Arabidopsis thaliana: one gene and its partners. The protein of the gene in region 3 purifies or fractionates together with the protein of the main gene of each other region. This does not show direct contact. Each region holds a gene or a part of one and is shown on either strand. Other genes may lie near its edges. The genes, in order: AT4G26230, AT5G56710 and AT4G14320.

Region 1 (3,678 bases), 5.0 Mb from region 3:
TATGCTTATAAATCTCACCCGTGTTCTAGGCTTCCGAAATTCCGGTGGGATGCTATCTGGCTTCCGTTTGGGCCGCTTTGGTATGTGTATCTATCGCTTAGATATAACCTTGTGTTGTTTTATATGCCCCTGTGTATGTAAAACTAAAGTTTGCATCAACTTTTCTGTACTTCGAAATTGCAGTGGAGCTGGAATTTGTCTATACGTGGACCATCTTCTAGAGGAGTCATCTGAGGAAGTGAAAAAACTGAGGAACTATATGTATGCATATAAAGCACGGTAGAGAGATAATAGCTACTTTCAAACCTCGTCAGAGTGAATTTGTGATAGCAAGAGTGCAAGTTTTGACTCTATTATCCCCTAAAGAACATTCTTCTGTTGTTGTAAATAGATACGAAACTCTGAAGTTCGTTTTGTTTAAAAACTCATGATTGACTCGAACTAGATTCCAGTTCATACATGTAATACTCTTGATTTATTCAAGCAATTCACTTGAGAGAGGTGCATAAACTTATTCATAGCTGCAGATATTATCATGATCGAACCAGATGCTCAAACTTTACCGAAACAAGTGTAAGGATTGTTGAAGACTACTTACGACACAAGACTGAGATTCTGTCTCAATCGCATACTATGATTCAAGGCTTAAGGATTCAAGAAGATAAATGTTCTCTCCAATAAAGATTCGAAAAACAAAACTCGAAAAATCTGATCAAATGTTGTTGTTACTATAAGATAGTTTAATCCTCTTCTTCAATGATCTTAGTGCCGAGGCCAGAGAGTCCTTCAGCAGGGATTTCAGCAACAGTGACAAGAGAGAAGAACTCTTCCTTTGCATCTTCATCATCATTTCTCTTACGAGCAACTCGGACTCTGATTCTCCTCGGAGGACCTCTGATACCTTTGCTCCAAATCTGCTTGTTCAATTTAACATCCACTCTCACATCCTTTGTCCCCATTTCCTTCTCAGCAAACTTCCTTATCTCCTTGATCGCCTTTGGAGCCTTCTTCTTAAAGGTACTAGTTTTACACACAAAGAAGATCAAACATTTCAATGTCACAATCCATAGAGAGCAATCGAATTAAAACATTAGCTAAGAGCTCATTATCAACATTCCAATTCCACTATCTAACAGTAAAAGCTTTGAAGCAATAAGACAAAAGTGTTTTTGGTGTTTTGGAAATTACCAGCTATGAAGGCGTCTGTGAAGGTTGATGGTGTACTCTCTGGTCACCACCTCCTCTTTCCTTCCCTTCTTCTCCGACATTTTATGTTTCTATCTTCTCTCTTTACCTGAATATATCAAAACTCAAATTCAGTTTTGACATATGATCTTAAAGACGAGATTAGCTCATTTTACTTTGTCACAAATTTTAAAAAAGGAGATTAAGATAAGAAAGAGAAAGGGATGAGAGTACCTTCTTCTCTCCACAAATGCCGAAATACAGAGCCGGTGGTGACGGAGAAGGATGAAGCTTATATGCGGCGCTCTATAAGAAGAAGAACTAACCCTAGTTGATTTTATGGGCCTTTCATCTACTAGACCTATATTTTTATGGCCCAACTAAGTGTTTCTTAACTCAAAAAAAAAAAAAAGAGTTCCTTTATATTGTGATTAACGTCTAACGATTTTTAACATTTGATAATTTAACTTTGGATAGTTTTTTTCTTATTTTTGAACAAACGTTGGATTTTTTAACTTTGGGTGAAAATATCTTGTTCTGTTTACTGTTTATATCACAAAACTAAATTATTTAATATACATTGTATTAAAAGCTAGCAAACTATATATCAATGTGGGCGTTTGGTCTAGTGGTATGATTCTCGCTTTGGGTGCGAGAGGTCCCGAGTTCGATTCTCGGAACGCCCCATTCATTTTTTTACTTTTTATATTAGATTTTAGAGCAATGTTCAGAATTTGGAGTTTTGCCAAAAGACACAAAACATAAAATGAGTTGTGTTTCTTCGTAACTGTCTGTTATAATCTTGAAATTTGAAGAAATCCACAAACTTGATAGAAAAGGTTCACATTCACACAGGAACCAAAATATCACATAGAACAATAACACTCTTGCATCACAATAGCTCAATATAAAGGGCTCACAATCATATGACCCTAAAGATCACAAAGAACAACAATACTCGCTCAATATAACCTCCTGCAAATAGTGATACCATCGCCAAGCGCAGCTTGCGAGATCTGCACACGCTGATCAGCCGAGAGTTTCTTGTTCAGCTCGAGGGTTGCTTTCTTGACTTCTATCCTCCACTCGGGCGTGGACGAGTCCGGTTCAGCAACTGATCCTCCCCAGAGAGTGTTATCATACACTATGATCCCACCAACCTTGATCAATCTAATAAGCCTCTCATGATAGTTCCAATAATTCAGCTTGTCTGCATCCACAAATGCGAAGTCGAATCCACCCTCATTCACTTTCTGCATCACAAACATCAAAACAAAAAGACCATCTCAGGATACATACTAATTCTTTTTTTGAAAGACAAAGAAGTATGAAGTTGTACATTGTTTAAAAGCTCGTCGAGGGCTGGAAGAGCTTCAGACTCTTTGAAATCAATTTTGTGTTCAACACCAGCTTTCTTTATAACCGGCAATCCTATTTCATACGAGTCTCTATTCATGTCAATGGCGATAACCTGCAGAGCTCGTGTACCAAATCAGTTGCAGAAATGATACAGAAGCAAAACAACGAAAAACATCATGACACTTTTTCTTTTGGTTTGGTCATATCTATGCAAATACCTTGCCATCTTCTGGTAGCGTAAGAGCAGTGAGGAGAAGAGAGTATCCAGTGAAAACCCCAACCTCGATAGTCTTTCTTGCATTTACCAGATTCAGCAGCATCCCCATCAACTGGCCAGCGTCTGGTGCAGTAGCCATACCAGCTTGAGGGTGGTTATGAGTAATGTTCCTAAGCTCCCTGAGAACCTCTGGCTCGCGTGGGTACACACTAGTCTCCAGTATATACTACAACATTTTTCACAGAAATGTATCAGAGAAATGGAGAAGTGAACTAACGTAGAGATGAGTATGTAAGGACAAACTTTATAGAGCTCTTCACTTTTCAGCAATCCCTTGGCTTCATCCTTAGCCATTGTGTCTCACAATCTTCGTTCCTCAAACACTGTAAAGTCTCTGCTCAAGGAAAAAAGCATATATTAAATAGCCATGCTAATTCATATAATCTTTGCTTGCATAACTGAAGAAAACTACTACTGGTTCTTTATTGATTATGGGTTGCTGCAGTTTACAACTTTTTTCTGAAAGTGTAGATCTTTCAAGTTTTCAAGGAAAACAGCTTTAAACACTATAAGCTTTGCCTTGATAAAAGGCGTGTAGATTTTATCTGATTTTATCTTATCCAATTGCTTGATTCTTAGAACTAACTTCTTCAAAAACCAATTGATTGAGCATACAGTTGACTTATGAATCAAGTTTATGTTCACTATCAAAACACTCATAAAAAAAAAGAACAACTACAAAACTAACGATCCAAAATGATCACAAAAATGTTACAAAGAGAAGACTTATAGTGAGGACCGGTCGAGAGAGAGAGAGGAGAATACCAGATGACTGAAGTCTTAGTTTCCGATCATCCACTACAATCTGGTGTGATGGCTTCTACACCTACAAGGCTTGCTTTTATGCGAAATTGCGA
Region 2 (3,751 bases), on a different chromosome or scaffold from region 3:
CCCCAAGATTTCAGAGTTTTTAAATGTATCTGTGAACCTCAGCGTTTATTATGTAAGTTCCCATTATTTTTCATGAATATAGAAACACAAACTTATTTGTTTGCTACATTGTTTGTGCCATGACTATCATAGTTTTCAACTTTTGGTCTATACATTGAGACAGGAATAAGCTAAATCCTTCTCTTCAGCTAGCTCTCGTGCAGAGTCATCCATTTTCTCCCTCGAAAACTCGTCTATACTGAGTCCTTGTACGATCTTCCAACTCCCTTTCTCACAGATAACCGGAAACGAGTAAACCAAACCAGGTGGTATACCATATGAGCCGTCAGAACAAACACCCATAGAAACCCAAGTTCCTTTAGGGGTTCCAAGAAACCAATCACGGATATGGTCACAAGCTGCACCAGCAGCGGAAAAAGCACTCGACTGTTTCCGTGCTCTTAAAACAGCTGCACCGCGTTGCTGAACTTCCACGATAAACTCGTTCTTCAGCCAGTTGTGATCTGTGACTAGTTCTTTTAACGGTCTGTCTCCAGTTTTTGTAGAGACTGTTGCGTGATTGGTGTCGGGATATTGAGTTGAAGAATGGTTACCCCAAACGATCACGTTCTTTACACTGCTCACGGGAACACTTAGCTTATCTGCAAGCTGAGCTAGAGCTCGATTATGGTCGAGTCGTGTCAGGCAAGTGATATTTTCTTCCGGGATTGATGGCGCAAACTCTTTTAAGATCAGAGCATTAGTGTTTGCAGGGTTTGCGACAACAAGAACCTTGCAATCATCTGATGCATAACGCTCTAAAGCCGAAGCTTGAGCTTTATATATCACAACATTTTTCGACATCACATCTTTTCTTTCCATGCCTGCTATCCTTGGGAATCCGCCGATCATTATCACGATATTCACATCTTTACATGCTTCAACAACATTTGTTGTCGCGATAACGCCTTTGAGAAGAGGGAAAGCTGAATCTTGAAGCTCCATTTTCACAGCTTCTAGTGAACTTGAAGCTGGCTCTATATCAAGTAAATGCAGAATCATGGGTTGATCTGGACCTAGCATAATACCTCTTGCAATCATTGGAGCAATTGCATATCCTATGTTTCCTGTTCAATAGAAAGTTCTCAATTAAATTAAGAACAAACGACCATAAAGGTAGGGAGTAGTAGATAAAAGACTCCAATAAAAAAACACTGAACCAAACCAAATAAATTGATAGAATTATAAATCAAAACATAAACCGGATCGTTTTTTGTTTGAGTTCTTACCTGCTGCACCGGTAATCAAAACCCTTATAGGATCTTTCTCAATGTTTAACAAATTACACATGTATATTATCATTTTCCATGACAAACCAACACAAAACAGTAGAACCAAAACTTTCTGAATCACAAAAGTATAATTAATTTCTTCTCCAACGAACTCCATTGTTTTCCAAGTAAAAAAGATAATAAAGCAACGAATGAATGTCATGCATTCCAAAGTTCAATTTATAAAACCAAAAAAAATAATCAAGAAGACATAAGGAATCTATGAAAAGCTTCTAAGAGGACATAACCTGATACTTAACAAAACTTCGTCTTACAAAAAATCTAAGTCATGCAACAAAAACAAGGAATCTATAAAAAGAAATGTAGCCAAATAAAGATCCTCAAACTTTTATTTTTGTTGGTTAACATGGGTGATTAATTAATCGAACCAATCAGTTTAAATTCGAGTAAAACATTTACTTCATATGTATTTGGGCCGTAAATGGGCTACTAAAATAAGAAAGCGTAAGAGGGAAATGCCAAGCATAATAGCACAAAAAATAGGCCCATTAAAGCCCAATCATTTATTTATTTTAGGGTTAACTCAAAGTGCCGCATATATATGCTTAGTTCTCTTCCTTCGTCCCCTTTCTGTCTCTCGGCGTTCTTCAATCGAAAGGTACTACTCTCTCTCTCTCTTTCTCAATCTAGCTCAATTCTGTGTCCTTGACCTAGCTTTGAACAGATCTGTTTGATTTCCGGTGAAAAGAATCGATTTTGAAGTGGTTTTTTGTAATGGGTAATCGCAGGTAAAGAGTTTGAAGAAGTAAGTCACAGAGAAAGAGAAGATGTCTGAGAAAAAGGGAAGGAAAGAGGAAGTGATTACCAGAGAGTACACCATTAACCTCCACAGACGCCTTCACAAATGGTAAGATTTCACTCTTTGTGTTCATGTTTTGAGCTGCTTGTTGGTTAATATCATAGGGTTGTAATGAAATTAAGTTAGCTAATCTTTTTCTAAATGTAATCAGACGTTTAGTCCAGAGAATCTGATCTTTTGAAATTCATGGTGTTATTGAATTCATGGGGAAATGGTATCTATTGTTTTGAAAAATCGTATCAAGTGTGTTTTGTTACTTAAAGTAAAAATTTGTACTGATTGTTTTTTGGATTTACTATCGAAATTAGTCTTGAAATGAAAGGGTATAGTTCATTTGATATATCTTGTAAAAGAGAATTAAGATTAGAGTTTGGTTTGTGGAATGTGGTTTTTTGGTGGGTTTGGTTTTATGTGATTAAGTATCTCTACTTATGTATTATTGGTTTGTAACAGCACCTTTAAGAAGAAGGCACCGAAAGCCATCAAGGAAATCAGGAAGTTCGCAGAGAAAGCTATGGGGACTAAGGACGTTAGGGTAGACGTGAAATTGAACAAGCAAATCTGGAGCAAGGGAATCAGAGGTCCACCAAGGAGGATCAGGGTTCGTGTTGCACGTAAGAGAAACGACGATGAAGATGCGAAGGAAGAGTTCTTCTCCCTTGTCACTGTTGCTGAAATCCCTGCAGAAGGACTCAGTGGTCTTGGCACAAAGGTCATCGAAGAGGAGGATTAAGAGAATCAGTAGAACAAGTTTTGTTTGGTTTTTTACTTTTGTTGCTGTGTTTCAATTAAAAGTCTTGACCTTTCACTTTCTTCATTGTAGTGCATCTTGAATTTACTTATGCAGTTTATTGAAGAGACCCATTTTCTTCTTCATGATTGACTCTTGTTTTGCTTTGGAATTTTCTTTATGCTTGTTAATTGTCGAATCTCACATTTACACAAAGTAGATCGTAGGAATGATCTGTGTATAAAATTATGCTAGATGTCGTCCAAATTATTTTTTATTTTTTACTTTTTTTTGACAAAAAAAATAAATCAACTAGGTTTAACTTTGAATCAAGAGCTGTTGATAAGATGTCTTGCGCTGAGAAGTACAGCTGTGTTCACCTTCGCTACTTTCATGCTCGGATCTGTGTAATCGTAGCTTCTTAAACAGGCATGAGACTATTTGACTGAGCTTCCGAACTAGTAGTTTACAAGGCCATAAGGCAGAGACATACAGATTGTAGTTTACCACATAAAAGCCAGACGATAGATTGTTCGAAAACAAGTTCCCACATTCGAAGAAGAAATACAAAAAACCATACTCTTAGATCATTTTCAAGTTTCTATTGTGAAGCATATCTCATAAAACTCAAATTCCATGATACCGTTCTGGTCTGCTTAAGATTGATGAAGATTTCAAGCAACGAGCATGTTTGAAGATATAACTCAAGAAATCCCTCTCTTCAGGTGTTCCTATGTAACCTGCAAACTCAAAAGTTTCAAGACTCTCCAACAAACATTTCGGGACGGAGCTCTTATTATTTTTCCAGCGAACCGGTTCATAATCCCCCAAACTTGACGGATACTAAGATTAAAAAGAAAAAGTAAAGGTTAGAATACTACACTATAGTGT
Region 3 (4,746 bases):
TCTTTCTATTATTATCGTGTAATATGCAGTACGTATTTATTTCGATAGTATTGCTCTTACGTTTTTGGTTATACATTTATAAAAACAAAAATTGTATTTGTTCTATTATATACAATATATCAATTGACTAACGCATGCGCAGTTGGTTTGGATCTCTATTGATTTGCAAGTAAATTTTTTGGATTTATCTTTCTTTCTCACTTCGTTTCTTACATTATTAGAGAATTTGACTTACATCGCGATGTATGTTTTACAAGCAAGTAGAATCGATGCCACTTTCCTTAGATATTAGCGTAGTAGACAATGTCAATGATCGAGAAATATACACAAAAGTACCTAACTTTTGTCAGCATGAACAGATTTGAATGATATTACGTAATTGTAGAGAAGAAACTTACCTTAAAATTAACACCTCTAAAAGGTAAGAATGTGTTAGTAGAAAATGGCTATTCATATTGTAAAATTAAAAGGCCGTATAATTAGTACAGAGGAATTCGACTTGGAAACAGAAAATTAGAGATTAAATAAAACACGAATTTTAAATAACGGAAATAAAACTTTAGTGTAAATTATCTATACCCATAATATATATAGTACCAGAATCTAAGTATAATAAAGTAAAAAAAGAAAAACTGAAGTAGCATCCTTGACCGTCACCACATCTTCCGCCGCTGGCTGCCTGGCTCCACCACCACCACTACTACATTCACCGGTTCATTGTCAATACCACCACCAACAGGTCCTTCTCCTCTATCACCACAGCAGCCAGGACCACCACAGCAGACACAAGAGAATATCATCTCATCTACCATTTTGCCCGCACAGCTCTCAATTAAAACTAACACAAAGGCCAAAACACATAGGACTATCATGGTAATATAAAAAGAGTTGTTCATGTTCTCTTTTGTGCAATAAGGAGCCAGGAAACATGTTCTTCTATTTATATAATTTGGTTTTATTGTAACACATTAGTTTCGGGTCAGCTAATGGCATGATTATCATATAGCCAAAATAGAACCTTCATTTTCCATTCACGTTGCGGGGAATATAGAACCACCAATATACCGAGGAGAAACTTCTGTATGCTCTTAAGAAATTTAGTGAAAGTTAGTATGGCTGAAGTTAAAAGAAGAAAACAAATAATATTTAGTATTATCAATTCATTTCTATACGTATATGTCATTTTAATTTGCCAAGCTCATATATAACACTGATTTGCAGCACAAAACGATAAATGATTTTTCGAGATCCGAAAATAGAAAGTGGTTTTTAGAACTTAAAGAGTGTTATGTCTACTTTGTCGCAAGTTATAGAGAATACTCAAGGGCAGCCTAATGAAGAAAGATTGGTTAACCAAATTAAAAGACATCCATAAGACCAAGTCCTATTTAAATTAAAAACCAGGACCATTTCTGGTAGATTCAAAGTATATCACAGTATTGAAGCAGGACAGGTACCAAACAAAACAAAAAAAAGTAGATAGATGAAACAACAACTTAAAAGAGAGATGTTCCCTTTCCCTTCTTGTCTCCACCGATCTCAAAGTGCTTGCACCTCTGCAAAAACCACACACAAAGTGTAAGAAACAGAACTGAGACTAAAGAGTGATTAACAAAGGTAAAGAATGTCGCAGACATTACCTTAATCGGGCGTTGCGAGAAATGCTTGCAGCTTTGGCATTGAAGCCTCAGCACAATCTTCTTAGTTGTCTTAGCCTGTTCCAAAGAAAGACAAATAATGAGCAAGGTCCAATTAACAAATCATTCCTATAAGACATATTTCACAGAGTCAATTCTGAAATCCTAAATTGGTTCTCACATAGAAGACAGTAATTAGAGATCAAGACAAGGAAAAGCGAGTATACCTTCTTGTGGAAGACGGGCTTGGTCTGACCTCCATAACCAGATTGTTTACGATCATAACGACGCTTTCCTTGGGCAGCAAGGCTATCTTTACCTTTCTTATACTGCGTCACCTTGTGCAAGGTATGCTTCTTGCACTCCTTGTTCTTGCAGTAAGTGTTCTTAGTTTTCGGAATGTTCACCTACAGAAAACCAAGTTTAAAACTACCACAAGATACAGTTTCAACAGCATACAGAATTAATTACGATCATAGAAGTGAATCTAAATACGCCCTTCAGAACAAACCCTAAAACTTGTTAATAAAATTTCCTGCTTCTCCTAAATCATTCAGAATTAATTGCTACCATACGATCTGACTACTCAACTAGTCAATATTGATAACCATTTTGTGAATCCTACAAGTCCCTGAAGTACAAATCCTTCTTAATTCTCCTAAAAATCAGAACAGAATTGCAGCAACACAAATGAAGATACATAACACTATATCATTTTGAATCTCTGGTAGATTGGAGCTAAAACTCTTCACAGAGACGAAGTGAACTGAATCTTCGAATTTACAACACAGAATGCAACATAACAGATTCTAAAAATCACAATTAGACTCTAATAATTCTCGATTTAAGATGCAAAATCAGAAATAAACAACTTAAAGAAGAAGAAAAATCACACAGCAGATCTATAATCAATAATCTCGTTCTTCAATAGTAACCAAGGAGAAATTTAGCAGAAATAAAGAAAGAGAAGAGAGTCACCATTTTCGCTCTTCGGTGAAGCTCGTGCCGTCGTCTTCCACTGCCGCAAAACCTTTAATAAAAACCTAAAGTAACAGAGCTTATAAGAGAGACATTTGAGAAAACCCTAATACTACAAACATTGGGCCTCTATAAACACAAAAAGCCCATTAACTTAATCAAAAAGTCAGGCCCATCTCACTTCCCTTTTTTAAAAGAAAGTAAATATATTCTAGTTGCCGAAAATAAAAATTGTTAATAATCAGTGGCCCGTGGACAAAAACTAGCCGTTTAGAGATACAACACAACGGTTATGTTTGTTTCTTTGTTTCAAACTTCAAACCTCGTGAATCACTCACAAACCCTAATCCCCTTTTTCATTTTCTCTCTCTCTAACGCTCTCTGAATCTCAATTTCAATTTCACTCTTTCGAAACTTCTTCAACAATGGCACCGACACCATCTTCTTCAAGATCAAATCAAACTCAATACACCTTAATCAGAACTCCACAAACAAAACAACGTCTCAATTTCCACTCAAAAACCCCAAACCCAGACGGATCTAAAGATCCATCTCCACCGGAGCATCCAGTTGAAGTAATCGGCCGGATCCGAGATTACCCTGACCGGAAAGAGAAATCACCTTCGATCTTACAAGTCAACACAGATAATCAAACGGTACGAGTCAGAGCTGATGTTGGGTACAGAGACTTCACACTCGACGGTGTTTCTTTCTCGGAGCAAGAAGGTCTTGAAGAGTTCTACAAGAAGTTTATAGAAGAGAGGATTAAAGGAGTGAAAGTTGGGAATAAATGCACGATTATGATGTATGGACCTACTGGTGCTGGAAAGAGTCATACTATGTTTGGTTGTGGGAAAGAGCCTGGGATTGTGTATCGTTCTTTGAGAGATATATTGGGAGATTCTGATCAAGATGGTGTTACTTTTGTTCAAGTTACTGTTCTTGAGGTTTATAATGAGGAGATTTATGATCTTCTTTCGACTAATAGTAGTAACAATTTAGGTATTGGTTGGCCTAAAGGAGCAAGCACTAAGGTAAAGTTTCTTGATTGATAACTTTAGTATACATTGAATTGGCTTTAAAGGTGTGTACTTTGTTGTTTTGTTACAGGTGAGGCTTGAAGTAATGGGGAAAAAGGCGAAAAACGCAAGTTTTATTTCTGGGACAGAGGCTGGGAAGATTTCTAAAGAAATTGTCAAAGTGGAGAAACGGAGAATTGTGAAGAGTACACTTTGTAACGAAAGAAGTTCTCGGAGTCACTGCATTGTAAGAACGATCTTCTTGATTGATGTGTATGCATAGCTTTATGCAGCTTATCTCTGTTTTAACTTACTAGTGTGGTTGTTTCTTTTTGTAGATCATACTTGATGTGCCAACTGTTGGGGGAAGATTGATGCTTGTTGACATGGCTGGTTCTGAAAATATAGACCAAGCTGGGCAGACTGGATTTGAAGCTAAGATGCAAGTAATGTTTCCTCTCTCAATTTGTTTGATTCTACTAAAGTTATTGTAGTTATGGATATCAACTGACTTATATCTCTCATTATTCAACAGACTGCTAAGATCAACCAGGGAAATATTGCACTGAAGCGAGTTGTGGAATCTATAGCAAATGGAGATTCTCATGTACCCTTTAGAGACAGCAAGCTGACCATGCTTCTCCAGGTGAAATTCTTGTTCCATTGTTTTATCTTCTGGAAAATGTTTTACGTGTTGCTTGGTTTTCTTGAAGATATTTAGTGTTGTTTCTATTCTCTGAATGCAGGACTCTTTTGAAGATGACAAGTCAAAGATTCTAATGATCCTGTGTGCGAGCCCGGATCCAAAGGAAATGCACAAGACTCTCTGTACTCTAGAGTATGGGGCAAAAGCAAAGTGCATAGTTCGTGGGTCTCATACTCCAAACAAAGATAAGTATGGGGGTGATGAGTCTGCTTCTGCTGTGATTTTGGGATCAAGAATAGCTGCCATGGATGAGTTCATTATCAAACTCCAGTCTGAGAAGAAGCAAAAAGAAAAAGAAAGGAATGAGGCACAAAAGCAGCTGAAGAAGAAGGAAGAGGAAGTTGCTGCTTTAAGATCTCTTTTAACACAGAGGGAAGCTTGTGCTACCAATGAAGAGGAGATAAAA

What was found.
Region 1: the proteins of AT4G14320 (region 3) and AT4G26230 fractionate together in Arabidopsis thaliana (co-fractionation; one large-scale study listed by BioGRID). This does not show direct contact.
Region 2: the proteins of AT4G14320 (region 3) and AT5G56710 fractionate together in Arabidopsis thaliana (co-fractionation; one large-scale study listed by BioGRID). This does not show direct contact.

Annotation. Positions count from the first base shown.
Region 1 is NC_003075.7:13,283,616-13,287,293, reverse strand, and holds AT4G26230 (Ribosomal protein L31e family protein), read right to left. Parts: upstream 1,558-3,678; 5' UTR 1,420-1,557; intron 1,295-1,419; 5' UTR 1,269-1,294; coding exon 1,189-1,268; intron 1,021-1,188; coding exon 741-1,020; 3' UTR 503-740; downstream 1-502. Other genes in the region: AT4G26240 (histone-lysine N-methyltransferase), read left to right, coding at 30-80, 184-283; AT4G26220 (S-adenosyl-L-methionine-dependent methyltransferases superfamily protein), read right to left, coding at 2,148-2,438, 2,525-2,656, 2,763-2,987, 3,065-3,115.
Region 2 is NC_003076.8:22,943,115-22,946,865, reverse strand, and holds AT5G56710 (Ribosomal protein L31e family protein), read left to right. Parts: upstream 1-1,872; 5' UTR 1,873-1,929; intron 1,930-2,059; 5' UTR 2,060-2,098; coding exon 2,099-2,178; intron 2,179-2,583; coding exon 2,584-2,863; 3' UTR 2,864-3,159; downstream 3,160-3,751. Other genes in the region: c-NAD-MDH3 (Lactate/malate dehydrogenase family protein), read right to left, coding at 148-1,106, 1,269-1,428; AT5G56700 (FBD / Leucine Rich Repeat domains containing protein), read right to left, coding at 3,488-3,703.
Region 3 is NC_003075.7:8,241,188-8,245,933, forward strand, and holds AT4G14320 (Zinc-binding ribosomal protein family protein), read right to left. Parts: upstream 2,724-4,746; 5' UTR 2,619-2,723; coding exon 2,616-2,618; intron 2,045-2,615; coding exon 1,865-2,044; intron 1,716-1,864; coding exon 1,641-1,715; intron 1,557-1,640; coding exon 1,535-1,556; coding exon of another isoform or gene 1,497-1,534; exon of another isoform or gene 1,243-1,496; intron 839-1,242; coding exon 654-838; 3' UTR 545-653; downstream 1-544. Other genes in the region: AT4G14330 (P-loop containing nucleoside triphosphate hydrolases superfamily protein), read left to right, coding at 3,041-3,649, 3,726-3,881, 3,973-4,080, 4,170-4,280, 4,381-4,746.